5 linked regions of the Nothobranchius furzeri genome follow. The protein of the gene in region 1 interacts with the protein of each later gene in a biochemical or structural test. Links are inferred from orthologs where the notes say so. Each region holds a gene or a part of one and is shown in the gene's direction. Other genes may lie near its edges. The genes, in order: ube2g2, uba1, uba6, rbx1 and prkn.

Region 1 (6,094 bases):
AAAACTGCCCTGATTTATTTATTTACTGATAACAGCTGCTCTCTTGGTTCTAGGTCCTCTGGTGTCTGCAGCTGGTCTGGTGTCGTCAGGATCAGGAGCTTCCAGAAGAATGTGCCTTTCAATGACTCTTTCCCGCTTATTTGTTATATTAATTAAATAAATCTCAATTTATATATTTCCTGTTTTTGTTTATGTCCATAAATACTTAAACATGCTTGAAATTAAAACGAGCTTTTAACAGTGAGGTGCTAGTTTAATTAATCACAATAGAGCTAGTTAAGCATGCAACAAAAATGTGATAATCAATGTAATTTATAAATATCCATTAAAATATCAAAACTGGAATCTATATGAGATATTTGGCAGCACAAAAAACTTGTCAAACACAATATTTATTATAATAATTGTAGGCAGACAGGAGACAGAGCTGATGGAGGTTCTCAGTCATCGAAGGATGGCTGAAGGCTTTCCAGGAACAGGAGATGTGGTGTTGTCTCTTCTCTCTCTATTCTGCCAGATGAGCTGATAGGTTACAGGTGTGTGAGGACATCCTCTTGCTGTCACAACCAGATGACAGGAGTTATCAGGTGATCAGCCAGGCTAATGAGATGCAGAAAGAAAACAAATTCAGGACAGTGTACAATATGTGGTGTTGCTCACCTTATGTGCTCTTATAGAATATTAATGTGTGCATGCCTCATGGTGTAGAGTCCATATTTTGCTGAGTGTCCTGCAATAATGCAGGTTATTAGTTAATTTACTTTTGATAGCAAAAACAAAACATTTAATGTAAAAGTTATTTTCCAGGTGAATCAGCTCACACGTCCCCACCAAGTGTCACGGGGGCAGAATCAGTAGCCTCCGTCATGATGTAATCACATACTTATTTAATTGTTAATATCTTAAAAATTCTGAGATGTTTTAATTTTTTTTTTTTTTTACCTTGAACAGTTCACTGAGCTTGCACTGTCACTGAGGTGGAAGCTGGAATCAACAGCAGACACCTCACACCTTGGTCTTTTCAGGGGGTGTGGCCGCTGCTCTGAGACTTTCTGGAAGATGAATTTTCATCATGGTCCCCGTGGGTCACAAGACACACTGCGGCTGTGAGCTCTAAACTGGCTGGCTATGTAAAAACAAAGAAGCAGCACATTTATAAATGTTTAAAAGAGCATAAAATCACGTGTAACAATAATCTGTAAAACAAATTAAAACTAGAAGGTAATAATAAAATGTTTACATAGAAGATTATTAAAAATAATTCACCTTTGCTACAGGGAAGGTTTCACGTCAGCCTGGACAAGTGCATTCTTGCAGCTAAATCAGTCTGACAGCCAGTGTCCTGGGTAGATTTAGCCTGAAAAAAAAAATATAAGCACATTGTTGTTGGGAGTTTATAAAGTCAGATAATATACAAAAGAATCTCCTATATAGGCGCTTTATAACATTCCTAGTGTGTGATCGTTGTTATAACGTAAAAGTCAGTCATATATGATGTGGAGAGCCTGAAATGTGACCTCCTGAGCAGAATTCCTTACAGAACCAGGTCACAAGCTGGATTTCACGCTGTAATGCTGTCTGTCAACTAGTGCTGCGTCAGTTAGAGCCACTGTTGCAGAATTACCGACTGACTAGCTAAAGGAAGTGAACCACGTCCCTCAGACTTTGCATTTAGGTAGGAAATTGTCTTTAGAAGATGTTAACACGTTTACTTAGCTTACTCACCTCAGACTGGAGCCCGCCGTGGTGGGGGAGCAGAGTCGGTGGGCTGCATCTAAATCGCGGAAGAGCCACGGTGGGCAGCCTCCCACTTCAAACGGAGGCGTGCAGAATCGCGGGTAAAATGCCCACAGAGTCACCGCAAGCATACTACACTACACCTACTCACTAATACTAAGACGATATGGAACACTAAACCCGAACTACTTTCCCAATTACACTAACAGCCAAACACTAACTAAACTACAATATCCAACAGCCAAGCTAACACTAAATAAGTATTTATAACACTAAAAGCTATGCTAAAGACTAGGATATGCTAATGCTATATTCTAATGCTGAACTACCGCTGACCTCCTACGCTCGCTTGCAAATCCAACTCCCACTCGCCACAGGGCGTGGCCGAGACGCTCGTTGCTTTTATAACTTTGGCACAGAGCTGCTACGTAGTACTCTACTGGTTTACGTAGTATCTTACTCTTTAGCCATTGGCTAAAATTTATTCAAAATGACTCAAATTCTATGTTTTCAGCTGAAGGTGGCGCATTACTGTGGTTTTTAGACAGAATTTTTAATTTTTAAAGAAAATGCACCAAAATGCTAAAATAAAGAATGCACACATTTAAAACACTATTAGACACTCATTTATACAGTTCATCAGCAAAAAAAAGTTAATTTAGACGTTACTTGCTCTTTAAGAAAATGATAAAAACATTGGATCCGCGCTACGAGTTTTCCAGCCGCAAGTATTTTTCGAACATCGCCATTCCACGCATGTACGCTGAATGCAAAGTGAGAGTTGCAGAAAATATTCAGAATGCGCAGTTTTTTGCTACCACAAGCGATCTCTGGTCCAGCCGCACATCAGAGCCGTATTTGAGCTTAACTATCCACTACATGAGCAACTGGGAGCTACATAGTATTTTGAACAAGTTAATGTTTGCACAATACGTTTTCAATTGACATGTTTGCTCATTAAATATGTTTACGATTTTAATTTATGTTAAGTTACTTGAAAAACGAGAAAAACTGATTTTTGTAATTGTTTCTCTCAGGGCTTTTATCATCTCTGGTGTGAGTTTAAAATAGAAGTGTGTTAGCACTGTGTTGATTATCCCTAATATGAATAAATGTTTATTTATTCAATGTTTCTCTTCTTTAATACGCAATTGAAGTTATGCTATTCATGGATAAAAAATCGTGATAAAATCGAAATCGTGATAAAATATTGGAAAAATCGTGATATTCTATTTTTGCCATATCGCCCAGCCCTACTAGAGCAGCACTTTCATGAACAAGAGCTGTTGCTTTTTGTCGTAATTATGGAAATTAAATGTCTGTATGATGCCATCAGTTAAAAAAATCATCCAGACATTTAAAATTATAGAGCACGCCGGGAGGATTTGGAGGGGGGTTTGCAGAGATCTTCATGGAGTTAACTAATTTTGTTAACTCAGGCAGAGATGAGGCTGAGGGAGGGATGCTAGACCTAACCTTGTTAACTTTGACAACAAAGATTGACAAAATGTCTTCAGTCTACATCAGAGTGAAAGGTGGCTGTAGGTGAAGCAGCAGAGACTATACTGCTGATGGTGCTAAACAGGAGGTCACTTCATGAGGTTAGAAGATCTTTTAGATGCAGCAGATGGACATGGAGATGAGTTCTTCCTCAAGTGCTCAATTTTTCTGCATCGGTGCTTAAAGCTGCAAATTCTGTCAACCAGGGAGTAGGGTTCACTGCAGGACCTGATCTGGTTCTGACAGGGCGTTTAGATTTCAGATCACCATCGAATTTTCTTAAACTAGTCTGTTTCTGCGGCCCCACATACTGATTTCCATCTGGTTAGATCTCGTTTTCTTAATGAGAGCACAGCTAGCACATTTTCTGCTGCTTTTGATCCACCCTGTTCTTCTGATGATGACCCAGATTCCTTCACTTTTCAGTTTAACGAGGACAACATCTGTCCTGTCAGAACCAGATCAGTTCCTGCAGTGAACCCTACTCCCTGGTTTAACGACATCAAGCACCAATGCAGAAAAAAAGAAGGCTTGTGAAAGAACAAGGCAAAGCAAAAGGGAACCCCAAGGTGCCGTTTAACCCAATCAGCAGCATTATCTCTCTTGCTTCTCCTACAGCCTCCATCCACTCTGATACAGACTGTGACAACTTTGGCGGAGGTAAATACACCATATCATGGATCAGGTATCTGGTCAGGGATCAGACTCATCTTGTTCTGATTCCCTGTCCTCACCTTTTCACCGTGGTAACAGCTGTCCACCTCTCAGCTGATTGTCTTGTTCAGTCTATCATTCAAACAGAACCTGGCTGTAGCTCCACTCACCTTCCAGTCTACAGGTGTAGTTTGATATTTGTGATCAGTGTTATTCACCCGTGTGTTTGTGTATCTTTCAGGGGTCCTGAAGACACGTGTTTTGAAGGAGGTGTGTTTCCTGCCGTCCTTAGTTTCCCATCTGATTATCCTCTCAGTCCTCCGAAGATGAGGTTCACATGTGACATGTTTCACCCCAACAGTAAGTCCACCTGCAGGCTCCGCCCCCTTACCTGTGACATGTTTAATCCCAACAGTAAATCCACCTGCAGGCTCCGCCCCCTTACCTGTGACATGTTTTATCCCAACATTAAATCCACCTGCAGGCGCCGCCCCCTTACCTGTGACATGTTTTATCCCAACATTAAATCCACCTGCAGGCTCCGCCCCCTTACCTGTGATACGTTTAATCCCAACAGTAAATCCACCGGTAGGCACCGCCCCTTTACCTGTGACACATTTAATCCCAAAAGTAAGTCCACCTGCAGGCTCCGCCCCCATACCTGTGACATGTTAAATCTCAACCGTAAATTCTCCTGTAGGCTCCGCCCCTTTTCCTGTGACACGTTTAATCCCAAAAGTCAGTCCACCTGCAGGCTCCGCCCCCTTACCTGTGACATGTTTAATCCCAAAAGTGAGTCGACTGGCAGGCTCCACCCCCTTACCTGTGACATGTTTAATCCCAACAGTAAGTCCGCCTGTAGGCTCCGCCCCCTTACCCATGGCATGTTTCTTCTGATTCTAGTTGTCCTCTCATTTAACATGACCAGTTGGTTGGCCCACTCACAGAGACCCTCTTTCAGAACCTTTAATTGGACCTGTCAGAACACGCCTCGTTAGCCAACCGTTTCATTAGCTCTGATTAGTGGGCAGATGCTGTGATGTCACAGCTCACTCTAGCTCACCCTCAGTACTGATTATAGGACAGAGGTTTTGGTTAGAACCCATCATCATGAGAACCTCCTGCTGCAGCCGGATCACCTCATCCTGAAGCACCCTGAGTAAACAGCAGAAGAGGCAATAATAATGATAATAATAACAATGACCTGAACTTCAACTGGAATATTTACTTTGTGAAGTGGGAGGATAGTTTTGAATTGGGGCTATACAAATATACTTAACTAAACTGGATTAAACTCAGTCAGGTGTCCTACAGAAATGTGGTCCAATCAGAACCAGTCCCGATAGACCTAGGTGTTTACTGCCTGATAGACATTTAGGTTGTGAGTGAGGACCGACCGGTGTGATGGTATAAAACGTGACACCTGTGAACTTGTAGAATCAAGTAGGATTGGATTGGATCAGCTGATAGGATCCAATGAAACTGGAATAATGAGAATCTGGTGCAAAAGTTCATTTATGTCAGAATTTTAATCAAAAACGTGAAATTAATCTATGAAATACTCATTCCATGCAAAGCCAGATATTTCAAGCATTTTTCTACAGAAAAATAAAACTGTGCTGCCAGTTTCATCACTGCTTGTTTCTCCTGAGTTTGTCAGAACCGGCTCTCATCACATTAGCTTCACAGCTATGATGCTCTAGCCTGGCCCGCCAGACTCCTCCTCTGGTTAATTCTGCACAGAGAACGGGTCTGGGATCTTTCCTGTTCAAATAGCCCCACCCCCTGAGAATTCTAACCGAGCCAATCAGTGCTGAGCAGTGTACGTCACACCACAACGCAGAGTTTGTCATAAATATGTCGACTGAAGCAGAGTTCGCTACGGCTCTTTCCTCTGGTCTAAATGACTTGATGAGTCTGGCAGGCCAAGCTAGAAGAAGAAGAAGAAAATATCATTTCTATAGCGCCTCTCAAGATAAAAATCGCGAGGCGCTTCACAAAAACAAAAAATGTAAAAATACAAAAAATAATTTAGAAAATGGTTAAAAATATATTTGAAATGAGCAAAAGACAGACAATTGTGATTAAAAAAAAGTAATAGGAAATAGGGAAATCAGCGGATCCTGAGGAAGGTGGAATAGGTGGGGAGAGCAGAATAAAGAGAGAGTGGTGAAGAAGGTCATACAAAAGCCAGCTTGAACAA
Region 2 (6,124 bases), on another chromosome or scaffold:
AGTGAAAAAGTCGCACAATGTACGCCCGTCTTAAGACTTCTCTTTTCATCTCGTTCACATAAATGGGGCTGTTGGTGTTTTTGTCCCTCCTGACATCTTGTATTTTGTCTGTGGTTAGTTTTACATTCGGGAGGAGGATCTGGGGCAGAACAGAGCAGAAGTGAGTCAGCCCCATTTGGCTGAACTCAACAACTACGTTTCTGTGACTGCGTACACCGGAGAGCTCACTGAAGACTACCTTACCAAGTTCCAGGTAAACCTGCAATATAATATAAAGACTTTATTTTCCTGGTGAGAAAAGAGCATTTTTTTTTAATGTTGGTGTCTATGGTTTTCCCCAAGGTGGTGGTGCTGACTAACTCAACTCTAGATGAACAACAGCGTTTGGGGGAGTTTTGTCACACTAAAGAAATCAAGCTGGTTGTTGCAGACACACGCGGCCTATTTGGGTAAAGCTCACTCTTGTTTTTATGTTTTCTGTTGACTTCAGTACAAAGCCAGTTGTTAGACTATTTTCTGTTTCTTTCGTCTTGTAGTCAACTGTTCTGTGACTTTGGGGAGGAGATGGTAGTATATGATACCAACGGAGAGCAGCCGCTTAGTGCCATGATCTCCATGATCACAAAGGTTAGCTTGTTCCTTTCATGTTTGTCACATAAAAGACGATTGACTTTAACAGGAAGGTTGCTGATCTGTGTCTTTAGGACAGCGCCGGTGTTGTAACATGTCTGGATGAGGCTCGTCACGGGTTTGAGAGTGGAGACCACGTCACCTTCACAGAGGTGCAGGGTATGACAGAGCTCAACGGGTGTCAGCCAGTGGAAATCAAAGTCCTGGGTCCATACACCTTCAGCATCTGTGACACGACAGGCTTTTCCGACTACATCAGAGGAGGGATCGTCACCCAAGTTAAGATGGCAAAGAAGATCAGTTTTGTAAGTGGTTAGAGGGCATTCGAGGTGCCACTGTCATTTCTAATGTTGCAACTAATCAGCACATAACCATCACTTTTCCTCTGCAGAAATCCATCTGCACCTCCATGGCCGAGCCAGAGTTCATGCTGACAGATTTTGCTAAATTTGACCATCCAGGACAACTTCATGCAGGCTTCCAGGCGATCCATGCATTCCAGAAGAAACACAGCCGCCTTCCGGCACCTTGGAGCCAGGTATCTGTCCGACTGCATAGTTGGAGGTTTAGTATCTAACGTATATTTTTGATTGACTGGCTCCACAGGAGCTATCCTGGAAGCCTTTGTAATGGCTAGCCCTGGTGATAACTCAGCAGAATGCATGGGCAGTGCCAGTGTGTATTTGATTTAGTGAGATTGGTAAATTGCTGAGCTTTGTGTTTTCCAGGCTGATGGTGAAGAGTTACTGACTTTGGCCAAGGAGGTGAACTCTGCTCAGACGGGCTCTGCCAAAGTGGAGCAGCTGAACGAAGCGCTCATCAAGAAGATGGCTTATGTCGCCGCCGGGGATCTTTCTCCTATCAATGCCTTCATCGGGGGCGTGGCTGCACAAGAAGTGATGAAGGTTGGAGGAAAATGCATAAACTAAGAGCTGCAGAATAAAAATCCAAAACCTTTTAACCAGACTTGAATGTTCAAAGTGATCAGTACAAATAAGTTTGTTAAATATTTTACATTCTGTGTCCTGTCAGGCCTCTACGGGGAAATTTATGCCTGTGATGCAGTGGCTGTACTTTGATGCTCTGGAGTGTCTGTCTGAAGGGGACGACGTCATGCTCACAGAGGAAGAGTGCTCGCCTGTCAGTGTTCAGAGAATATTAAAGTGTTTTTCACTGAAGACAAAACCACACGACTGCTGAGGAAAACCTCGGTGTTAACCTTTTTTTATTTTTACGTCTCTGCTTTTCTAGAGGAACTGTCGTTATGACGGGCAGATCGCCGTGTTTGGCACAAAGCTTCAGGATATGCTAGCCAACCAGCGCTACTTCCTGGTGAGTCACAATAGGGACTTTTAAACAGGAAGTGCCTTTAAAAATGTCTGAAAACGGTGGCACTACAGTAACTTTAAAAGTACACAGACTAATAATAATTTTGTATTTTTTGGCCTTACATGGGTTAAAGCAGGAATTGAGTTCTCCGTCGTGGCGACGGAAATCTGTCAGTTGGAATAATCAGAAAAAAGTTCAGTCAAAATCTCTTATTGCGCTCGCTTGGGTTTAGTAGTCTCTCGCTCTCTCCTGTTTCTAATTGAAACGCGCACCGGTATTGTTGAAACGTGTTTCTGCACCGCCCAAGCTGCAAAAACGCGTGCGCTCATTGCTCGCTCCCACGGTGCGCACAAACAAACTGCGCCCGCACCAGGCGCTGGGATTCTAACAGAGCCAATAAAGCTCTGATATCACAATGAGAGTTAACGTAATGAGCGGAACCAGGACCCAAATTCCCGGTGGGCCGATCTGAGGTCGGTGTTTTTAGTTGTCTCTTTGTTTTTTTCGGGCCTGTGTTCAGTCATGACGCTCTGCTGATCACCTGCTGATGAGAGGATTTCTCCTGTCAGTGGAACAGGTGAGCTGCTGAACAAGCGTTAGTTCCTAGAAACACTGTCTATGCCCAGACTAGTGACCTGTTATTTGTAATTTTATAATTAATATTAAGGGAATGCACTAAACCCACAAATGATGGAAGATGAGATTAAATATTATTAATCATATTACCATCAAATGTAAATAAGTATAACAGATAACTAATCTTGATGAAAAAATTATATTAATTTTTATTTTAATATTGATTATATTTAATTTCTACGGTGTGGATGTCTGTGAACATTACAGAATATTCAGATTGGTGTAAAGAACATGTTATTAATAACGGGTCATGATCTAAAGCTGGTCTGAGGTATAAAACTCTGCCCTGGGCCTAAAGCCCTGCAGATATATTTAGTTTCTATGAACACCAACAACAAATAAATAACAGCAGCTGGATTCTACTTTGTTCCTTAAATTGTGTCACGTAGTTTTTCAAGTTCTGCAGCTCACACGTTCATCATTGAGCCCTACCAGCTGATTGGTTCTTTTGGTATCTAGTGCAGTTCTGGTACTGAGCAGCATGGATGCATTAGTGGATTTCACTGTAGTCTGTGTTCATAATGGATTAAAGGACAGGAAAACATTAACTCAAATATGTCATTATAATGAACATGTATAGATACTTCATCATACATAGCTGCCAGCCTGTAACTACTTTCCCCCCAAAAATGCACCAGACTGATGCGTTTAAATATAAAATGTCCAATGTTTTTCCGGGGGGGCATGCTGCAGGTATGTATGTAGAGAAATGGCCCTTGTAGCTTGACTCACTGCATCCTCTGTCTGAAATCCTTCCAGGTGGGAGCCGGTGCCATCGGCTGTGAGCTGCTGAAAAACTTTGCCATGATTGGACTGGCGAGTGGGAACGGCGAGGTCATTGTGACCGACATGGACACCATAGAGAAATCTAATCTCAACAGACAGTTCCTCTTCAGACCCTCAGATGTTACTGTTAGTATCACCGACTGCTCAGTAGCTCAGATGTAAAGCACAAACAGGTGTCAGTCGTTTATGCACTACGTCTGGATGTTTATTTATTAATCATCACCAAACGGGCGCTAGCAATTGTTTAAATTAAAATATCAGAGACATCCAGACTGCTGCCGTTTTTTTATGTTGGACTACTCACTGTTACTACTACTACTACCACCACATACACACACACACACACACACAGTAGTCACATTAAATCAACAGGGTCTTTCCACTAAAGAATATGCTTTAAAACGGGCTGAACAGCACATCCTGAAATGTCTGGAGTTGTAGACGCGCTCGGTCAAGGAAATCCAACTGCGTCCAGCAGTGCAGGACATGGACCTGTTTGTCTGTAGGAGTCTGTCTTCATAAATGCATCAATTCTGTTAGGGACAGAAACGAAACTGGTTGCTGAAAAATGGCATCAGGTGTTCTGCACTGATGTGTCAACATTTTAAATATCTGGCTCAGTAAACGTCTGTTTGTCTGAAGGATCATCGAGTTGTTTCTGCAGCCAACAGTAACTCCTGGTGTTCTGTTTGATGCTTTAGTTCAGTTAATAGTTAAACTGCTGATGAATACTCCTCAATCATGCATCACTAGCAGGAAGGTGTGTTGTTACTTTTACCTCTTTAGAATTTACTAAATGTTGCATTATTAAAATAACATTCTGAAGTTCATAGATGACTTGGCTGCGTTCACATCTAGTTTTTATATATTTCAACAGAAAATGAAGAGTGACACAGCTGCTGCAGCGGTGAAGAAGATGAACCCCTCCATCAACATCACAGGCCATCAGAACCGAGTGGGCCCCGACACGGAGAAGGTCTACGATGATGACTTCTTTGAGAGCCTCGATGGCGTCGCCAATGCACTAGACAATGTTGATGCACGTAAGATGAACTTTAAATTGCTTAAAACATGCGCACGCTGATGAAGGAATGCAGTTTGGCTTTTTTTCTGTTACAAACCATCTTTTTATAGCTGCTTGTTTGTGTTTACACCTCCGTTGCTTTGCTTGTATTCCTTACACTAAGGCATGTACATGGATCGGAGGTGTGTGTACTACCGTAAACCCCTGTTGGAGTCAGGCACTTTGGGTACCAAAGGCAATGTCCAGGTCGTCATCCCCTTCCTCACAGAGTCCTACAGCTCCAGCCAAGACCCCCCTGAGAAGTCCATCCCCATCTGTACTTTGAAAAACTTCCCAAATGCCATCGAGCACACACTGCAGGTCAGCAGGAGCTCAATGATGCAAACTCCAACATGAGTGGACTTGGTGGCTGATCTTTGTTTCTTCTCTGTTCAGTGGGCCCGGGATGAGTTCGAGGGACTTTTCAAACAGTCTCCAGAAAATGCTATGCAGTACCTCACGTAAGTTACTTCCTCTGTGGAGTGTCTGTCATACTTTTTGGGTTATAGCTACTGTGTGATGTTGAGTGTCTTTGGAGTTTGTGGTCAGAGCAGCATATCTAAAAGTATTAGCTAAAAGGTCTGCTAGTAAGATTTGACTTTGGTTAAACAGTCATGAGAAAATGCAAAATGACCGCTGTTATGCTTGTAAACCTTGCAGAGATCCTAAGTTTATGGAGCGCACTCTAAAACTCCCTGGAGCTCAACCTGTGGAGGTGCTGGAGGCCGTGTACAAGACCCTGGTCACAGACTGTCCCCACAGCTGGGCTGACTGCGTCGCCTGGGCTCGCAACCACTGGCAGTGCCAATACAGCAACAACATTCGTCAGTTACTGCACAATTTCCCCCCACAGCAGGTAAATACTGGTGTCATGTCTGGATTAGCTTCAGACTTTTTTCTGTAGCCGGAGAAAAGTTGAGTTAGAAGTTTGAGTCCAGATTGTCCCCATCCTCTGATGGACCTTGTGCCACTCTTCACCTACAGTTAATATGTTATAAACCATTGTTAATACATCAGCTGCCTTTTTAGCTCAATTCTTCACCAGTATTTATTGTATACATTTTAGAATGTTGTGTCTTAACAGCCATAATCTCTTCCAGCTCACGAGCTCAGGTGCCCCCTTCTGGTCTGGCCCAAAGAGATGTCCTCACCCCTTAGAATTCAGCACTAGCAACGTAAGTGTGTTTTCTAGTGATCTTCAGGAATGAACATAACTCTGCAGCATATCTGTATCACATCAAGAATTCATGGTGTTGGGTCTTAGGAGCTTCACATGGATTACGTCGTGGCGGGAGCTAACCTGTTTGCTCAGACGTACGGCCTGCCAGGCAGCACCGACCGTGCCGGAGTGGTCAAGATCTTGCAGGATGTTAAGGTGCCGATTTTTTCTCCTCGCTCGGGCGTAAAAATCCACGTGTCTGATCAGGAGCTGCAAAACAGTAATTCCTCTGTTGGTAAGACCAATGTGGAAAAGTTTAAAGTCACTGACTCTACACCATTCATCTGGGAGTGACGTAACCATCAATCTCTCGATGTACAGATGACTCCAAACTGGAAGAACTGAAGTCCCAGTTGCCTTTGCCTGAGGCTTTCCAGTTCAAACTCAATGCCATTGACTTTGAAAAGGTACGTTGTGTTTCTCTGCTTTGGGCTTAGAGTGGGATTGTTTATTGTGTGGTT
Region 3 (6,700 bases), about 51 Mb from region 1:
GAGGGACCGGTGGCGCCTGTGCTCGGCAGCCTCGCCTCTGTCAGGTTGCCCCAGGGCAGCTGTGGCTACATCGTAGCTCATCACCATCAGCGTGTGAATGTGTGTGTGAATGGATGAATGATACACTGTAGTGTAAAGCGCTTTGGAGTCCTTACTCTGAGAGGCCCTATACAAGTGCGGGTTATTTATCATTTATCATAACTCTTCATATTTCAATGTGGACAACAGAATCAGAAAGGTGGGGGTCACCTTTTCTTCAGCTCCTCCAAATTCAGATGATCATAACCCACTGACATGGTGCTGAGGACCTTCAGGTTTGGACCTATGAAACATTTAGCATAAACTGAAAGACCATATTTTAGGTTATTTAACTGAAAGATTTTAGGTAACCTACCTGCTGCGTCCAACAGTTCGGCATCAACCTTTTCTGTCAACACACAGAGCAGACCGTCAACCCCTTTGACTCTCTGAAGCAGTTCCTTCCTCGGCACTGGGACGTCGTCAGAGTCCCAAAGCTCCAACTGCACCCTGCAAGGGTACGAACATTGTAACCAAAGCTCTGATGCAAATATTACTTCGCCAGCCACAGAATCGTTCAGAAATGCCTGAAACTCACAAGCAACACAAAATCTGTTAAATTTGTTGATTTGGGATATTCTGTTTGAATACATTCTTTAACTCACTGTCCTGACTTGTGGAGGAGCCTCAGTCCCTCAGGAGGGATCTGTCTGGTGACATACACCCGTGGCAGGGTTGACATTTCCCTCTGCACTTTAGTCGGTGCACCGCCGGAGACACTCAAAGGGGCAACTGCGATCCTCTGGAGCCGATGTAGCGCCATACGACTGCCCCACATTGCCAGGAAAGGGTGAGCCTGTAGACAGTTGTCTGTGGGATAAAGGTGGTACTTTGGAGTTTAGCGTCTATTGCGGGAACGTTTACAAATGTGATTTTAGAGAACTGGGGAGGTTCCTGTCTGACCAATATGGTTAGAGGGAGGGTGCATCCACAGTCTGAGTGATATTTCAACAAGCATGCAAAAGACAAAATTACTGAGCTGTATCTGAGTCAAGGTTTGTGTATCGAAACAGAGCCCTTTGTATTTCAGATTAAAGTGAATGTAAATAATCCACGATAAATTAATCTTCAAGCTGTTTGATTAAAAAGCACAAATGTGGTTTTCTTTATTCTACGTCAGCCCCAAAACTAGAGTCAAACACAGGTAAATGTTTTACTCACAAGTTGACCTTTGCTCCTTTAAAAAGTAGAAAACCGAAAAATGTTCTGGTTGTTTTCTTTCAGTTTAAACTGGTTGAGAAATTCCTCTCCAGCTTTCCAAGTTGTATTTCATTTCCCAGACATCTCCCTAACACTAACTGTAACAAAAACGTAATTCACACCGTATGACTAAAACAACTGGTAAGCTGTTTTAAAAAAGTGAGGTCCTCACTTTGAAAAATGTCCTCACATTGTAGGGAAAGAAGTGAAAAAGGTCCTCAGTAGGTAGTACATACAAGTACACAAACACAAGCACACACACGCACGCACACACACACACACACACACACACACACACACACACACACACACACACACACACACACACACACACACACACACACACACACACACACACACACTTTGTCTTTCAGGAGCTTCGATTAATTTTACCAAATTGTTTTTTGATTGTATTTGGTTCTCATTTTATTAATTTGAGTAGTTTTATACATTCTTTGTGAAATCCAAATACATAAATGGCTTTCCTGTTTAAAACAAAATGTGGACCTTGAAATAAATAAATGTCTATGAATGTCTGATTGTGTTTATTAGATGCAGTAGGGTATTTATTGGCCTAACTTATAGTTTTATATTTGACATGTTTGATTAGAAACTAAAAACGTCTTCTGGTAACACTTTATAAATAAATATGTTTGTTTTATATTATCTATTAATAATAAATGTATTAGAACTAAATTCCTAAGTCCTGTGGCCGCATGGACGTAATTTGGGGGGGGGACAGGGGGGACATGTCCCCCCCACTTTTTCCAAAGTCAAGTTTTGACCCCTGCTTTTTTTACCATCCAAAAACAATATTACGCTATATTAAATTGACACTGGTTGAGCTCTAGGACCAAGCGGAAAACAATTGTTTGTGTTGAAGCCTGTTTCCCATTAGAGCATACTGTAAAGATTCACACACACACACCCCACCCCACTCCGTGTCCCCCCCACTTCTAAAGTGAAAATTACGTCCATGGCCGCCAAAGGACTATGATCTGAAACGTTTGTAGTGCTGAGCTTTTGAATCGCGCGCGCGTGTGTGTGTGCGTGTGCGTGTGTGTTGTTTGAAACTCACAAAAGTGTAATCTGAAATATTGATAACTCAATAGCCTCCGTTATTTGGTAAACATCTGACAAAATATGAAAAAATTTCTTTCGACTTTCATCATGAAAAAATGCCCTATTGGAGGATTTTGGTCACGTGATTGTGATAACCCGGAAGTACTCCAAGTTTTTAACCAGTCACAGCCATTCATTTGCTGTATTTCGTCGTGCTCACTGTCAGATATTCGCGTAAGATATTCCGCCTTATTTTAACAACATTTAAACATTTTCTTATTCATATTTCCAATAAGCTCAATTGTCTTGAACAAATGATTAATATTTTGGTGATGTATGGTCTAACGCGGGTGCCATTGAGTGTATGTAGAAGTCCTCGCCACCGGTGTTGTACCGAAAAAAAGCATCCCTGCCGGCAGGAGTGACACTCGCTGCTAGTTAGCTAAAGCAGCTAGCTTTGAGCTTTTATCAGCAAGCTTTCTAAATAGTAGTACTTTGTAAGTCACGTTGTTATAGTTAAACTTTGAGTGTTAGAAGCGGTTGTTGTCAAGCTCTGTTTCCCTCTTGGGTGACAGTTACACTTAGCCACCTTGCTAAGTTACAGCAGGGCGTTGGTTTACGGTATAAACTCTAACAGCGTTTTATAATCTGCGGTTATAATTGGTGTTTAATAGGTGAAGTCGCTATCTGTGAAACGGCTGAACCCCATTTCCCCTCCCACCATGGCTTCTGATTTGATGGAGATTGACGACTCTCTCTACAGGCAAGTTAGCCAGCGATTCACCTAAATAACTCGAAACTTAAGACATGATCACCAACCACCTCTCTCCCTGATCTAACTCATCTTCTCACGCTCTTTCTTCTTCATCTCTCCCTCCAGTCGCCAGCGATATGTGCTCGGAGACCGTGCTATGCACCAGATGGCCCAGTCCTCAGTCTTTCTCAGTGGAATGGGAGCAATGGGAGTGGAAATAGGTGAGCAAGACTGCAGCTTTTAGCCCAGCAGCACTCTGGCATTGGTCTTTATAAACAAGTTTGATGTTTACACTCTTTTTTTTTTTGTTTAGCAAAGAATATTGCCTTGGCAGGTGTAAAGGTAGGCACAATCTTTAGGTTGTGTGATTTTCAAACATCGCCAATTCAATTTGATTTGTTTGTGTGCTTACTGCATGTGTGTGTGTGTGTGTGTGTGTGTGTGTGTGTGTGTGTGTGTGTGTGTGTGTGTGTGTGTGTGTGTGTGTGTGTGTGTGTGTGTGTGTGTGTGTGTGTGTGTGTGTGTGTGTGTGTGTGTGTGTGTGTGTGTGTTGTACAGTCAGTAACGCTTCATGACACAAAGCTGTGTGAGACCTGGGATCTTGGCTCCAACTTCTTTATTCGCAGAGATGATGTATCGAGCCAGAGGAGGAGGTACAGTGTGCTACACGATTGGACTGCACAGATTCTTTGTACATTTATCAGAACACAGAAACTATACATAATCTGCACAGTCCTCGTGTGCATACACCAACCAGAATGACACTTGTATGAGTCAAAGTTTGTTTGGAGGAGTGTGTTGCCAGCAGCTAACTTCAATCAAATGTCATTTTTAGCCCAACGCTTCACTAGCCTTTTCTAAAGCCAGTCCTAACTAGAGCATGAGCAGTCATGGTTTTTCTATGTTTTATATTTCATCTGAAAAAATACAACATTACCACTTAAAGATATATTATAACAAAGCTTAGGAGAAGTCAGACACTTAAAACATAAATACAAACATACACATAAGAGCAGTCCTAATTAAAAGAGACGTACCAAGGAGCTGCCCGGTAATCAGAATCAGCATCGTCTGCTTTATCTATGATTAGATGATTTCTGGGTGGTGCATGTTGCTAAGGATGATACAGTTTGCTCATTTTTTGTCTTAAAACATTTTATGAAAGATGATACAGCTGCTAGTGTTTGTGGGATGATCAATTGTTAGCTAGCTGTTATGCAAATGAGACATGAGGGTTTGAATGTCCAGAAAACGTGCTTCAGTGTGATTCCTATAGCTAGCCTTGGTGCTATTCTTAGACTAAATCAGACCCATTAGCGCGTGGTGCCTAAATGAAAAGCTTGTTTTGCCTTAATGTCTGTTTAATTCTGTATTTCAATCAGCCTGTTTATCTAGAAACAGATCATTAGTCATGTGATCAATAACAACATAGCCAACGAATCTACTCATGTTATAAAGCAAGACTTCAGTGTCAGGCCGCCCCTCCTCGTAGGCTCTTCTCGTGTTTGTTGACCTGGTTCTTCCCCTGCTCTCAAAGGGTGGAGGCGGTATGCCCTCGAGTAGCTGAGTTGAATCCTTACGTCCAAGTCGACGCATCTTCCGTACCCCTGGATGACAACACGGATCTCAGTTTTCTCAGGAAGTATCAAGTAAGTTGGTGCTCTTCAGGTGATAATTTAAATAGTAGTATATTCCCACTGGCTTGCATGCAGAAACTCAAAAAATTAGAATATGGAGTAAAAGTCCATTTATTGAAGACTTGATTTATTTAGACTGAGAGACCGTCTAAAGCCTGGTTTATGCTTCTCCGTCAGCTCCGCAAGGGACAGACACGCACGGACTGATGGAAGCGTTTTGCTCTCATAATTCTCCGTCTCCTGGAGAGTGTTGCAAAGCAATTCCCCAGCAGGACACCAGAGGGCGTAGCGCTGTTCTGTGGTATCCTGTCATGTACCGGTCCAAGATAGAGTGTCTATATTGTGTTTTTTGTGTATATAAGAGACTTTTAACACGGACATATTTGTCTCTCATTCTCCCACCGCTTCATGCGCTCCCCACCTCTAAACCCACGTTTCCTGTCATTTCCGTCCACAAATAAAACGCTTGCTGCGCATCTTTTCACTCCTCCAGTCACGGGAGAATTAAACGTTCTTGTTTTTAGAGTTTTTTTCGCGAGGTATTCTTCAAGCTTCTCCGTGTCTGCCGCTAGTTATCCTCGGCTCTCTTTGCAATGGCGGCGCTGTAAACAACAGCGGCGTCCTGACCAATCACAAGCTTGCGTAATCCGTCTCGTTCGACGGATGTTTATAAAAGTGGGCTCGACTCCGTACGTACTTGCGTGCCTGCCAGAGCCCTACGCAAGGACGGATAATGGCGTTGCGTGTCTCCGCACTGACGCAGACGGAGAAGCATAAATCAGGCTTAAGAAACCCTTTGCAGGTGTTCTGGATTGAGTAGCTTATTAGCGTGTGACACTTTGAGTCTAGAATATTGAACCTTTTCACAATATTCTGATTGTCTAATATTTTGAATGTGGAGTTTTATAAATTGTAATCATCACTATTATAATAAATAGAGGCTTAAAATCTCTGGCTTTGCATGTCATGGGTTTATATATATTTTTTATTAGTCTCACATTTTAATTGAATTACTGAAATAAATGAACTTTTGTACCATATTCTGATTTTTGGAGTTTTACCTGTACATGGCTGTTGCTCGTTCTAATGACCATGCTGCCTGTTGCCATGGACAGAATCAGTGAAGCTGCGTTAGTTCAGTTAGGTGTTAAAATGGGGAAAGTTTTAAAATGGTACAAATAAGTCAATAAAACAGGCCACTCGTGTACTCTGATCCATGTCACAACTTCCCGTGTGCATGTTTAAAATGGTCAGATTTTGGTAATTAATGTTGCTTTTTCAATTTAAAACATATTTTTAGGCTAAATTTGTTGTTTTAGATCAAGGATCATGTACGGAAACCTTTTTGATTTTCATTAATGGAAGCAATGCAGTTTGCTTGTTTTCATTTGGATCGTTGATAAAATCGGCGATCTTTGCTGTAAACGTGGACCCTGCTGTTGTTCTGCAGTGTGTGATTCTGACTGAGGCCAGTTTGACCCTACAGAAGAGAGTAAATAAGTTCTGCCACTCACAACAACCCCCCGTCAGGGTAAGACCACGCTCCCAGTTTTACTAATGGGGGAACAACATTCAGAAATCTTTTTCTCGTGTATCGGTGATAACGTGTCTGACTCTTGCCTTCTCCAGTTCATCTGCTGTGATGCCTACGGCATCTGTGTGCGAGTGTTTTGTGATTTTGGAGAAGAGTTTGAGGTGTCTGATCCCACAGGAGAGGAGCCCAAGGAGATTTTTATCCAAAGTATTACTCAGGTAATCCGATTACACTTCTAATTCCTGATTATAGAAACCCTGTTGCGTCACTATTTTAACAGATGATGTGTTATTGGTGTGTTCTGCGTCCTTGTTTCCATCAGGACAATCCAGGGGTGGTGACCTGCATGGACAACCATCCCCACGGCTTACAGACAGGCCAGAGTGTTGTGTTTAGAGAGGTCGGAGGCATGCTGCAGCTCAATGGTTCCACACG
Region 4 (5,778 bases), on another chromosome or scaffold:
CCCTGTGTCCGCCAGAGGGCGTGTGATTTGATTTTTGTAGTGCTGATCGCTAGCTGCTAATAGCTCCAGCAGTAGGTTGAACACAAGTAATTAAAATAAATTTATTGAGTTTCAGTAGTTGGGTAGTTTGTACAGGTGACGAGATTCAGGCTTTTGTCAGGTTTAAGCACCTGAGACACCATATAACAACACAACACAAGGAAAGAGACACAAAAGTCAGAATTCAGTTTGAGCTCGAGGAGAATGGAATAAGGCCACACCAACTCAGTCTCCACTGAGCTGACAGTTCCTCTAAACCATTCTGGCGTTTGGAATCCGAGCACCTCTATTTATTACAAGCTGGGAGCTCCCTAGGTACATGCCTGAGAGCTGATTGTGAATGGGGGGGGGGGGGGACGCAGCTCTCAGTTTTTAATTGTTACAAGTTTCACACAAAGAGCATTCATTATTACACAAAGAACTTCCAGTGTCTAATCACACAATGAGTAGCAAACAGTTGCACGAGTCAGCAATTGACAGAACAGCAGATCTCCACGGGTCATCCTTAGGTCACATCGTGACCTAAGGAGGTAAGGTCAATCAGACCTTAATTAATGATTCAAATGCAGTGACCTAATGTGACCATCGTATATATGTCGATGGTCATATTAGGTCAGATTTAACACCCTTAAAGTTTCATGAGGGGACTTTACAATACAGCAACTGTTTAAGCATTCAAATGGTAAAAGCATAAAACATGGTAAATGAAAAACAATCTTTAATTATAATAAAAGCATAAAGCATGATAAATGAAAACATGAATAATAATTCTATCAGTTTTCCTGTTATTTATACTAACTTTGCCGTTAATTCCACTTTAAAACCCTTAATAATTTTAAATGGTATGTTTTGTTTTGAAGGAATCTACAGGAAGTGTAATGCTTTGTTTAGCTTTATGAACGCTACCTGTAGTAACAGTTTTCGGCCGCTAGAGGGCGAAAAATACTCACGACAGCCAGGGAAAATATAATAATGCTAAAAGATTGAGTTCTCATGTTTGAAAAATTTGTACCTTATAACGAATAATTTCTACACGAATGTCCCTGTGTGTGTTTATTAGATGTAGTTGGGTGTTTATTGGTCTTGAACTAATAGTTTTACATCAGACGGGTTTGATTTGACAAACTCATGCTGATAAAAATATTAGTACCTAAATATATGTATCTCATATCACCTATTAAGAATTACATTTTTAAAATGAATAAAAATCCCTCTAAATCTTAGCGAAGCCAGCCATGCCCATGCTTCCAAATGGGAAGCAAATGAAGTCCTCTCGTAGATGTAGTTTTGCCCTGTGGCCGCCAGTGGGCGTATAATCGAATGTTTGTGGGGCTGATAGCTAGCTTCTTTAGCCTATTGATTTAATCTTGTTTAACACGAATAACTGAAATACATTTATCAAGTTTCATTAGTTAAATTGTTTTATTGTGTATTTTCCGATTTTATACTAACTGTGTTTTTAACGCCAATTTAAAAATCGTAATTTTTAAGTTGTATGAATGTAGTACCTGCAGCAACCCGATTTCTCCAGCAGAGAGCGCAAATTAAAGGATTGAGTACGCAGGTGTTTTAATACTCTGATGGATATATTTATTTGCATTATTTAGGTCAATCAAATAAAACGACAGATTGCAAGTAATTGAATTAAAAGTTTATTATATACAAAGAACAACCAGTATAAAGAACCGCATTTCTATTATGTTACAGGTTATGTCTGCTATGTTGGTCTTTTGCCACTGGAGGGCGTCAACTCCCCATTCTCGCTCATTTGCAGCGTTGTAGCTAGGGGAGTGTGTGGTACACAGTAGTGTGATGAGTATGACGCAGTGTGTAGCTCAGATAGATACACCTTTCTATACAGCATGAGAAGTTTTTTTTTTTTTTTTTTGCATGAGAAATTAAGGGTGTGTAAAAGCAATGAATAAAAGCAATACATGTGCTATTGATTTAACAAATTCTTTACAGAGAAATGTTAATAAGCAGGGGTTCCATGGTGTAATGGTTAGCACTCTGGACTCTGAATCCAGCGATCCGAGTTCAAATCTCGGTGGAACCTGACCTTTTAACCAATACTTCTTCAAATATTAAGAGTGTCAACGGTAACAATTCAGAAATACAACCTGATTTTGTTTTTTCAAAAATTATTAAGAAAATAATATTTTCTTTCGAAAATTTGCTTAATCTGGTCGAACAGGAAGTGACGCTATTTTCCGGTAAAACTTAGATAAACGCTTCCGGAGAGTTCAAAATGGCAGCAGCAATGGATGTTGACACGCCAAGCGGTACAAATAGTGGAGCAAGCAAGAAGCGCTTTGAAGTGAAAAAGGTACGATAGTTGAAAGTTTGTCTGTGTTGACTAAACTAAACGGTGCACTTTGTCAGCAACGCCGAAAGGTTTAGCCCAACATTAGCTAACGCTAGCTTGCTAAACACCGTTATCGGTGTTTAGCTGTTAGCCTGCTACAAGAAATAATTAATCATTATTCTGTTTATGGCCTTAAAGTCTAAACTAGAACTTGTAGAGAAATAAGAGCGATGATAAACTCTCAGTAGTTACACAATAACAGCACGATTTAAAAATGGACAAATACCTCTTTAATCTCTTAGTCTACATGCTAAATTAGCTTAGTCAGCTAAGCTGTACATCTCGAAATTTCCCAAGATTTAAAGTATTTAAATGACTGTCACATTTCCTCAGGATAAAATGTTAAGTAGTTTTGATGACAAGGTTTTTTTTCTCCTATTCATTACATAATTTAAAAGTAACGGTACTGATAGAGAAGGATTTTATTAATCAGATTTTAATTAACTCCTTTTCTAGATTGAGGTGTCCATGGAAGCATTTTTTAATCAAAGGTTGAAAAACTTTATTTGTAAGATAACTTTGAATTAGTACTGAATGTCAGAGACCCTACAATGAGCCATAGAATTAAGGTTTTTATTTCCAGGTATGAGGTCCTTCATTTTAAGTTACCTTCCTATGAACAGAATGTGATTTTTGTTCCAGTGGAATGCTGTTGCACTGTGGGCCTGGGACATAGTGGTGGATAATTGTGCTATCTGTAGGAACCACATCATGGATCTGTGTAAGTTCACATAGGGGTGTTTGATTGCATGTGAGTTGTTGGCAGCCCTCTTACACAATTCCTCATCCTTCATCAGGCATAGAGTGCCAGGCCAACCAAGCTTCTGCAACCTCAGAAGAGTGCACTGTGGCCTGGGGTGTCTGCAATGTGAGTTTCTAAGGTGCAACTTTCAGTAGGATGATAGATATGGGTCATTTGACTCTGAAAGGCACTCTACAAGTGCAGATCACTTATTTTTCAGTCTTTGCATCTTTGTTAAACTGCTATCCAGTCGTTTAAACATTTCCTTACCTTCCATAGCATGCCTTCCATTTCCACTGTATCTCCCGTTGGCTGAAGACCAGACAGGTGTGTCCCCTGGACAACAGGGAGTGGGAGTTTCAGAAGTGAGTCGGATCCATTAATGCATATATGATTTTGAGGATTGTTTGATGCTTGACTCAAACACATTTTCGTTTTTTCTTTCGCAGATACGGACACTAGTTGTGATATTGACCTGTTCCTTGGCTTCTGCGAGCATCAACCTTTCACTTTCCATTTTGCTTCCTGCTCATATACCTAGATGTTATTTTACATGTTTTGCTATGTTGTAATTCAATAAACTGTAAAACCATCAGTCTTCAGGAGGATGTAATCACATTTGAATTGAAGTCGTAAAACTAGATTAAGTGCACATGATATGCTCAACCATGCACCTTCATAGTTTAGTTCATGAGGTACATTGTGTTGGGACGAAAGTCACGAGCATCTACAGCCACGTGGAATGACATGAGATCTGACACGGCTGTAATCCTCAAGCTACAAAACAAGCAGCACAGCTGGATTAAACGTCTGGACTACACATACCGCCTGAATAATGAAATAACTCACATGCTTATTTAATTTAGTTTATTTAATAATCAGATTAATTTAAAAACCAATAAAATGGAACAAAATGTTTTTAAATAGTTTTATTGTGAATATTTTTCCAACAGGGTGAGACAGACATCCTTTTATTTGCATTTATAACAGATTAATAACAAAACATGCCAACGCTCGTGAGAGTTCGGCTGTGTTCAGAGACAGACAGAGGTTAAACCACGTATTAAATGGCTGTAGAAACGTTCATATCTTAATACGAGGGGGGAGGGGCAATCTAGCAGTGCAGCCGTTTCAATAAAAAAAAAAGATCAACCTGCTGTTAAATGAAGTTCCAGCTGAAACAAGGTTATCCCAGATTCCAACATCATTCCTAACCGTCGGGATGCTTTGATTAGATGTTGCTATAGAACTAAGGTGTTGATTAGGATCATTGTTTATAAAGTAGCCCAACTTCTACCTCGCTCCAGCTGACCCGTCACCAGCTCCTGCTTAACTTAACACAGTGAGTAATCGAAAAGCGCCGCTCTCCAGTCAGCTTCGCCGCGTTTGCACTTGGATTTGGTTCCGGGCCCGTTTACGGTTGTGGGGAAGCTCCAAATTTGGAGCTGAGTTTGGTGATGAGGGCCATGACTTTAGGATTGTTTTGATACTTGGAGATGTTGGCAGGGTTCTGCGCCACATCCTGGAAAGCAGCCATCACCTCAGGGTCCTGGAAATTGATATAAAACCAAACAATTTGTTTTTAGAGACAAATGCGGTGCTAATGACTTAGGACTAGCCAACATGGAGTTTAAACACCTCACTATGGGATCAAAAACAATGATGACCCATCTCTACAGAAAAACCAATAAATGGTCTACGTGATTGTTTAAACTAGCAAAGGGTTGATGCTGAGCAGCAAATTACCTTCATGGCATTCAGCAGCTCAGGATCCTTGAAGAGATCACCGAGACCAGGCATGCCAGCAGGAGCTCCACCCGGGAAACCACCGGCACCTGCAGGAGAACAGAGTCAGGAACCATGGCAACGTAGTCACGTTTTTTAATCATCTTCCTGCGGCTACGAACGTCTGATGGATTTTAGAGCTTGCAACAATAAGATGGTAAATAAATCATGGTGGGTCCAGTGGCATGAAATATGCAAGATCTTCTCCACTGAAGCTTCCATTGACCTCACCTGGGAAGAATCCACCTCCAAACTGCCGTGCTTCCTCTTCCTGTTGCACCACAAAGAAAACCACACAGATTTCATAAAGTCTTGAGATGATTTCTTTCATGTATATGAATCTCCAGAACTCACCCTCTGAGCCCGCACGTGCTCCTCTCTGGCTTTCTTTACGCGCTCTTGCTTCTCTTTGATCTCCTTCTCTTCCCTCTTACGCTCATATTTGCGTCTGTGCTCCACAATTTTATTAGCCTAAAAGAGATTCGAAGGAAATCAAAGGCAAATTTATCCCTTTGTCTCTTGTTAAGGGACCACAAACATCTGCTCTGACTGAACTGCATCAGATCCGCCGATCTTCTACCACCTGTCAACATCCCATAATGTTGCAGGGTGCAAACAGAAACACAGCAAAGCATCGGTTCCACCGTACCTTTGGCTGAACCTCCTTCAGCATCGCGCTAGCGTCCTCGTCGTAGTCCAGTTTACAGGCTGTAGCCAGATCCCTGGCAGCCTCCTCCCAGTGACCGAGCAGCCTGATGCACGCACGCACGCACACACACACACACACAGACACCAGAACTGGGTTGTGTGTTTACACACCGGGTGTGTGGTTGTCTCGTGTGTAAAC
Region 5 (6,596 bases), on another chromosome or scaffold:
CTCAGACGCCAGCAAGGTGGAGGTAGAGTACTGGTTTGGGCTGGTATCATCAAAGATGAGCTTGTGGGGCCTTTTCGGGTTGAGGATGGAGTCAAGCTCAACTCCCAGTCCTACTGCCAGTTTCTGGAAGACGCCTTCTTCAAGCAGTGGTACAGGAAGAAGTCTGCATCCTTCAAGAAAAACATGATTTTCATGCAGGACAATGCTCCATCACACACGTCCAAGTACTCCACAGCGTGGCTGGCAAGAAATGGTATAAAAGAAGAAAAACTAATGACATGGCCTCCTTGTTCACCTGATCTGAACCCCATTGAGAACCTGTGGTCCATCATCAAATGTGAGATGTACAAGGAGGGAAAACAGTACACCTCTCTGAACAGTGTCTGGGAGGCTGTGGTTGCTGCTGCACGCAATGTTGATGGTGAACAGATCAAAACACTGACAGAATCCATGGATGGCAGGCTTTTGAGTGTCCTTGCAAAGAAAGGTGGCTATATTGGTCGCTGAATTGTTTTTGTATTGCTTTTGAATGTCAGAAATTTATATTTGGGAATGTGGAGATGTTATATTGGTTTCACTGGCAAAAATAAATAATTGAAATGGGTATATATTTGTTTTTTGTTAAGTTGCCTAATAATTATGCACAGTAATAGTCACCTGCACACACAGATATCCCCCTAAAATAGCTAAAACTACAAACTACTTCCAAAAACATTCAGCTTTGATATTAATGAGTTGTTTGGGTTCATTGAGAACATGGTTGTTGTTCAATAATAAAATTATTCCTCAAAAATACAACTTGCCTAATAATTCTGCACTCCCTGTATATTGTGTCTCTCTACTTCTTAATAAAGGTTAAATAGTTTTGAGTTTAGTCATGTCACATGCCAGTGATTTATAAGCCAATAGAAACCTATAAATAATCTATTGCAGTATTTTTTACCATGGTTTAAAACTTTTATCTTATTATAGAATGAATATGACAAATTATCTTTTTGTGTTTGAATGCAGGCTCAATGAACAAGTACATTCAAGGAGGAGCTCACGCCAAAAGTTCATATCAGCCCTCCACCAGCAGTTCAAGAGCTCAAGATCAGTTGTCAGCCGTCACGTCTGAACCTTCTACATCACCCAGCCCTGACCAGGAATTACAAAGTAAAGCACGCCTACAGACCGAGCACAGCCCACAGCCAGCTCTTCTGAAGGCAGAGTGAGTCCTGGATCTGAAAAAGCATCTGAAAATTACATTGGAGAAACACATGTGCCACAACCGGTGCTTTTGGTGTGTGGACCTGTTACATAGTTCTAAATAATAACAATATGGAGTTACTGTGTTGAGTAGTTATATTACGTAAATATCAATCCTACTTTTTGGAAATAATAAGCAGTTTGTGCATACAAGAGAATTAAAGAGAATTTAAGGCGAAGCGCTTGCACATACTGTGTTATTGTGTTGTTTTTTGCGGGGGTGGGGGTGGGGTGGGGGGGGGGTGGGCAGGCACCACGAAGTCTTTGTGCTTAGGGCACCAAAATAGCAAGCAACGGCCCTGTCTACAACTATCCCGCAGCATTTCCTTCCTTTGCAGTTCAGCAGAGAGTCGTCGTATATCCTCTTTAAAGAGCAAGTCACTCCAAATCAACATTTTTTTGCTGATAAACTACATAAATGCATGTCTGATCGTGCTGCAGACATGTGTAGTCAATAATTCGGCACCTTAGTGCATTTTAGTTAAAATTTAAATATTCTGCCTAAAATGTCAGTGTTGCACCGTCGTCAGGTAAAAAGTCAGCACTGCATTTGAATTTAAATCTGCCGTCGCTATTGGCTAAGAGGTACACTATGATGTTAGATGGTACATTATGATGTCACAATGTCGTGAGTGTGTGTATTTGTTAGCGGCTCCACCCTCTCTGTCTGCTAGGCAACAGCATTTGTTGCATTTTTCAAACAGGAAGTGGGAGTTGAGTAAGAATCTGGTACGGGGTGACTTGCTCTTTAAGGTTCTCAATCCTTTTATTCGCTTCAGAAGGCATAAAGGCGTCATTGTGGGGCAGAAGGAGAGGGAAGACACACATTCAAATAGCTTCAAGGCAACAGCGAGAACGTCCTAGCTGAACTGCCTCTGACAGATCCAAAAGATTTTTAGTCCAAATAAAAGTCCAAGAAATCAAAAAATCCCCAAAATCATAAAACTATCAAAGGTCCAACAAAATCCACTATATCCAGCAATCAGTGACAGGAAAGAAGAGGTTTTTAGAGGAACTGGAGCAGAAAAGTAGGGAGCTGAAGCAAACTCGTTCTCTGAGTCTTGTGTCTGGTCCTTACTGGTTCTCACTGTGGATAGGAAAGATCTGTGACTGAAGACATTCATCAGGACTGGGTTAGGGCTCACCATCCTGTTGGAGCTGAGACCTACTTCATGGGTACAGATCCATATGAAGATCTACCCACGACCCTGACCTTTGAACTAGAATATATCAGGATGCCTTTATGTATAATGATAGTATTTTACTGCTCTTTGGAGGAAATACTGGCATTTTTTTCATTTAAATCAATGTAAACGGGATTAAAAATGACAGAAAGCTGCATGTTTCGTTTTTACTTGATTCTGAAGTGCACACCTGGGTCCAGCAGGAGGCAGCAGGTTCCTGACGGGGCGGAGCCTGCTCTGGGATTAAAGCTCCCAGAATGCACTGCGGCCGGCTGATTGTAAACAACTCATGAAGGAGACGAACGGATGATCGGTGAGTTCCGTAGCTGGCCGATCACTTTAATTGATCCGTTACTAAATGATCAGTGACGTTGGTTGTTCGGATGAGTTCTGGTTATGCTTCCGGTGACTGTCAGATTAAAAGCGGGTCTAATTGTGGACCCACAGGAAACACGTTACAATAAAATTTGTCGTCTTAACAAATGACCATGTTTGTCTTTACCTAAATGCAAAGGTCCAGCTTTAGGGACCCAGACTGCCGCCAAGCCAGCCTCCCGTTCGGAAACGGTCGTCAACCCAGCACCTCTTCGATTTTTACGTGCGCAACTACATCATCCATTACGGTACCTTCGTTCAAGAGTGCCTTTCAAAATTAAAGGGCACTTCCGGGATGTGGGCCTGAACATGCTGATGAACGGATTTCAAAGTTTTTGTTTGTGTTAAAATTGTGTGTAAAATAAAACTGCGTTTTAAATAATATGTCTATTTTAAAAAACTTTAAATTAAAAACAATAAACACATTTGTCTGCTTTGCAAATTTTATCCCATTTTTATATCTTTGGTACGTTCTTGCTGTGTTTGACTTCTAATTCCATTTTTGGTTCTTTTTTTAAAACACAGAAAAGGTTTCGCTTTACCTTGCTGACGGTTTCGTTTGCGGCTGCAAACATCCTCAGAGCTGACGCTGATGGTGGCGTCACTTCCTACTCCGTTTATCCACGGGCAGCAGAGGACGTTGTCGCCCTCTGCTGCCCGCTCTCCCCTCTCCGATGATGCAGTCCCATGCACGATCCAATGTGTAAACTCCATCGTCTCTGTTCATAGTCTCGCATCCATGGATGCGGACTATGAAGTAATGAGACAGCGGGATGTGTTTACAAAATCTCATGCAAACGCTGCAATAAAACATACATAGGAGAAACCGGACGCCAACTCAAAACATGAACAATAGAACATAGAAAGGAGTGCGAGAAAGAAACAAGTTGAAGGCACACGAGCAGCAAAACAAGAAGCAGAAAGCACAATAAAGAAGTCAACCGTAACAGATCACTGCACAAGAGAAAACCATATAATGGACTGGGACAACACAAGGACCACAAACACCGATCAACAGAAATACAAAAGATGGATAAAGGAAGCTATAGCGATAAGAAGACATAGAGGCGGGACTATGAACAGAGACAATAGAGTTTACACATTGGATCGTGCATGGGACTGCATGGACTGCATCATCGGAGAAGGGAGAGCGGGCAGCAGAGGGTGACAACGTCCTCTGCTGCCCGCGGATAAACGGAGAAGGAAGTGACGCCACCATCAGCGTCAGCTCTGAGGATGTTTGCAGCCGCAAACGAAACGTTAGCAAGGTAAAGAGAAACCTTATCTGTTATAAAAAAAGAACCAAAAATGGAATTAAATCTTATCCCTTCCCTCCCTTTCATCCTGATTTGATAGGGCATTTCAAAGTAATATCAAAGTTGACAATAATGCCCATTTTCACTATATTCAATATCTATATATGGGTTTCTTTCTCAAAAACTGTCTGATTTCATAACACCATTCCACTTCAGTGGTAAAATACACATCGACTACTACATTAATAAGGATCTGATGTGGCATTTCAAAATAAACCGATCAAAGCTGACAATAAAGACAATTCTCACTATATTCAATGGTTAATTTCTCAAAAACTGTCTGAATCCTCAACATCATTCCACCACAGTGTTGGAGTAGTATCCAATGTGGAATTTAGAAACAAACCATTTTCAAACCTAATATCTCATCTATTTAGTCCATAGTTATTTACCTCTTCTTACAAAAACTGATGGTCAGTCTCAAGAAAGCCCATCTTTGCTATCCCAATTGAAGTATTATTCTCAAAAACAAGTCAATACAAGTAATTTGTGAATGTGAATTTAAAAAAGGGAAATTTATAATAACTTACAGTATACAATTAAGTTTCACTTTCTCAGAGATAAAAAATATATAACTTTTTTACTTAGCTTAAGATCTCACTGTTTTTAAATAACAAAACAAGTAGTCGATGTGTACTCTAACAATGAGGTGGAATGATGTTGCAGAATCAGACAGTTTTTGAAAAAGAAACCATTGAATATTGTGAAAATTGTCTTCATTGTCAAATTTGATTGAACTTTATTTTGAAATGCCACATCAGATCACGATGAAAGGGAGTGGAGTTATAAGAGTTGCAAAGTAGACAAACGTCTTTATTGTTACATTATTTGTATGAAATGCACTTCATAAATAGTTTGATTGATTGATTGTTGGGTTAGGATTGGGAATTGAAAGTATTTTTAAAAGATTATATCATTTAAAATGCAGTTTTATCTTACACACAATTTAACACACACTTTGAAATCCGTTCATCAGCATGTTCAGACACAAATCCTGGGAGTGCGCTTTTAATTTGAAAGGCACTTTTGAACAGGGCACCGTAATGCCTTATGTAGGTGCGCCCGTAAAAATCGAAGGAGGGTTGGCTTGGCACTTGTTCAGCAGTGTACTCAGACCCATTCTCGGACCATCACCCTAGATGTGCTAGAGGTGCGTGTTTTAGTTTTACCTCTGCTTCAACACACCTGATTTCAGTCAGCAGGTGATTAACTGCAGAGCCGGATGAGCTGCTGCACAGGTGAATCAAGTGTGTTGGAGCAGAGAAACCACTAAAACATGCTGGATACCAGCCCTCACACCTCCAACAAGTTATCAAAATAAAAAAGAGCAGAATTTATATTTCCAGTTCCCTGGTACTACTCCAGAGACAATGCTCTGATTAATAATGGTAAGAACCCAAGGACCAACAGAGGAAAAACCCTCTTTTTAAAGCCTAGGGGGCGTCAAATCCAAGGGAGAACCAGCAGGTTTTACAGAGTTAACATAAACCCAAAGGCTGTCCGACGTAAGCGGATCAAACTGACTAAAAGTGTCTTAGCGGGGACCAGAAAGAGTCTGACAGAATCTGGGCTCTGATATAGACTATTTTGTCCACAAAAAACCTCAAAAATGCTTTGCAAGTCATCACAGAGGGCTCAGTACCCACTGGTGGATGAATACTGAGGATATTATCTATTACATTAAAAAGCATCTGTAGCTTATGACGTGCCGAGAAGCTTTATCCCTCAACACATGTGGAGACAGCCAGCAGAACTACACATGCACATCTCCTTATTTAGATGCATAGAGGTGTGGAACACCAGGGAGAAGGCTGTGGTTCCAAGACCAATGAGATCCCTGGTCCTCGAACAACTGAGACACTGGGAAGAATCCTGAAGCTCCAGGTCTCTGGAAGAGGACGGGAGCTTGACTCCAGCTGCAGAAAACCCAGTCGAAGACTTCAGGAGCTTCTTTTGACCTTCCCTGCTGAAAACAACAGCATAGGTGTCACTAGCAAATGTTGTGTCTCGAGGCTGGTCCAGCAGCTAAACCAGCACCAAAGCACAACGTAAAAACTACTCAGTTTTTTCAGCTGGGTTTAATTCAGGAAAAAACGGATTCTTAGAAGTTCTGCAGCACTCTCTCACCTGAGGCCCACCTGTGTTCCTGCAGTGTTTGTGCGGTACAACCTGGGGCCTGGTGTGGCCGTGGAGCTGCAGGAGGAGGCAAGTGTGGCTGAGCTCAAGGAGGTGGTGGGGAGTCGACAGGGAGTCAGTCCAGAGGAGCTCCGAGTGCTGTTTGCTGGCAGGGAGCTGCAGAGTTCCACCTCCCTGCAGGTGAGCTCCTACAACTAACCCATTTACAGGTATGCTCACCAGGTGGTTACTTCTCACATTACTCCTTCTCATCCTCTCAGGGTTGTGACCTTCCTGAGCAGAGTACCGTCCATGTGGTCCACCCTCCTCCAGGCTCTTCCTCCTCCCAGCTCCTCCT

Evidence for each region.
Region 2: of the proteins of ube2g2 (region 1) and uba1, one has a biochemical effect on the other in vitro, tested with the Homo sapiens proteins (5 studies listed by BioGRID, with this or other methods). The link is inferred for Nothobranchius furzeri from reciprocal best matches to the Homo sapiens genes UBE2G2 and UBA1.
Region 3: the proteins of ube2g2 (region 1) and uba6 form a complex in vitro, tested with the Homo sapiens proteins (2 studies listed by BioGRID, with this or other methods). The link is inferred for Nothobranchius furzeri from reciprocal best matches to the Homo sapiens genes UBE2G2 and UBA6.
Region 4: the proteins of ube2g2 (region 1) and rbx1 form a complex in vitro, tested with the Homo sapiens proteins (3 studies listed by BioGRID). The link is inferred for Nothobranchius furzeri from reciprocal best matches to the Homo sapiens genes UBE2G2 and RBX1.
Region 5: the proteins of ube2g2 (region 1) and prkn form a complex in vitro, tested with the Homo sapiens proteins (6 studies listed by BioGRID). The link is inferred for Nothobranchius furzeri from reciprocal best matches to the Homo sapiens genes UBE2G2 and PRKN.

The regions. Positions count from the first base shown.
Region 1 is NC_091747.1:27,304,683-27,310,776, reverse strand, and holds part of ube2g2 (ubiquitin-conjugating enzyme E2 G2), read left to right. Parts: intron 1-4,132; coding exon 4,133-4,251; intron 4,252-6,094. UniProt on the Homo sapiens protein: Accepts ubiquitin from the E1 complex and catalyzes its covalent attachment to other proteins. In vitro catalyzes 'Lys-48'-linked polyubiquitination. Involved in endoplasmic reticulum-associated degradation (ERAD).
Region 2 is NC_091755.1:24,211,656-24,217,779, reverse strand, and holds part of uba1 (ubiquitin-like modifier-activating enzyme 1), read left to right. Parts: intron 1-118; coding exon 119-253; intron 254-342; coding exon 343-449; intron 450-536; coding exon 537-627; intron 628-704; coding exon 705-935; intron 936-1,021; coding exon 1,022-1,168; intron 1,169-1,358; coding exon 1,359-1,535; intron 1,536-1,662; coding exon 1,663-1,770; intron 1,771-1,881; coding exon 1,882-1,962; intron 1,963-3,354; coding exon 3,355-3,507; intron 3,508-4,258; coding exon 4,259-4,424; intron 4,425-4,568; coding exon 4,569-4,765; intron 4,766-4,840; coding exon 4,841-4,905; intron 4,906-5,104; coding exon 5,105-5,300; intron 5,301-5,544; coding exon 5,545-5,619; intron 5,620-5,708; coding exon 5,709-5,898; intron 5,899-5,984; coding exon 5,985-6,070; intron 6,071-6,124. UniProt on the Homo sapiens protein: Catalyzes the first step in ubiquitin conjugation to mark cellular proteins for degradation through the ubiquitin-proteasome system.
Region 3 is NC_091747.1:78,728,724-78,735,423, forward strand, and holds the start of uba6 (ubiquitin-like modifier-activating enzyme 6), read left to right. Parts: upstream 1-2,433; 5' UTR 2,434-2,448; coding exon 2,449-2,574; intron 2,575-2,765; exon of another isoform or gene 2,766-2,837; intron 2,838-3,014; coding exon 3,015-3,103; intron 3,104-3,220; coding exon 3,221-3,315; intron 3,316-3,407; coding exon 3,408-3,436; intron 3,437-3,652; coding exon 3,653-3,747; intron 3,748-4,631; coding exon 4,632-4,743; intron 4,744-6,181; coding exon 6,182-6,262; intron 6,263-6,360; coding exon 6,361-6,483; intron 6,484-6,587; coding exon 6,588-6,700. Other genes in the region: grhprb (glyoxylate reductase/hydroxypyruvate reductase), read right to left, coding at 250-322, 395-528, 684-856. UniProt on the Homo sapiens protein: Activates ubiquitin by first adenylating its C-terminal glycine residue with ATP, and thereafter linking this residue to the side chain of a cysteine residue in E1, yielding a ubiquitin-E1 thioester and free AMP.
Region 4 is NC_091752.1:65,784,942-65,790,719, reverse strand, and holds rbx1 (E3 ubiquitin-protein ligase RBX1), read left to right. Parts: upstream 1-2,229; 5' UTR 2,230-2,287; coding exon 2,288-2,365; intron 2,366-3,046; coding exon 3,047-3,125; intron 3,126-3,201; coding exon 3,202-3,272; intron 3,273-3,425; coding exon 3,426-3,511; intron 3,512-3,595; coding exon 3,596-3,608; 3' UTR 3,609-3,741; downstream 3,742-5,778. Other genes in the region: st13 (hsc70-interacting protein), read right to left, coding at 4,561-4,695, 4,893-4,981, 5,163-5,202, 5,286-5,402, 5,581-5,683. UniProt on the Homo sapiens protein: E3 ubiquitin ligase component of multiple cullin-RING-based E3 ubiquitin-protein ligase (CRLs) complexes which mediate the ubiquitination and subsequent proteasomal degradation of target proteins, including proteins involved in cell cycle progression, signal transduction, transcription and transcription-coupled nucleotide excision repair.
Region 5 is NC_091752.1:62,523,795-62,530,390, forward strand, and holds the start of prkn (E3 ubiquitin-protein ligase parkin), read left to right. Parts: upstream 1-2,666; 5' UTR 2,667-2,738; coding exon 2,739-2,745; intron 2,746-6,275; coding exon 6,276-6,439; intron 6,440-6,519; coding exon 6,520-6,596. UniProt on the Homo sapiens protein: Functions within a multiprotein E3 ubiquitin ligase complex, catalyzing the covalent attachment of ubiquitin moieties onto substrate proteins. Substrates include SYT11 and VDAC1.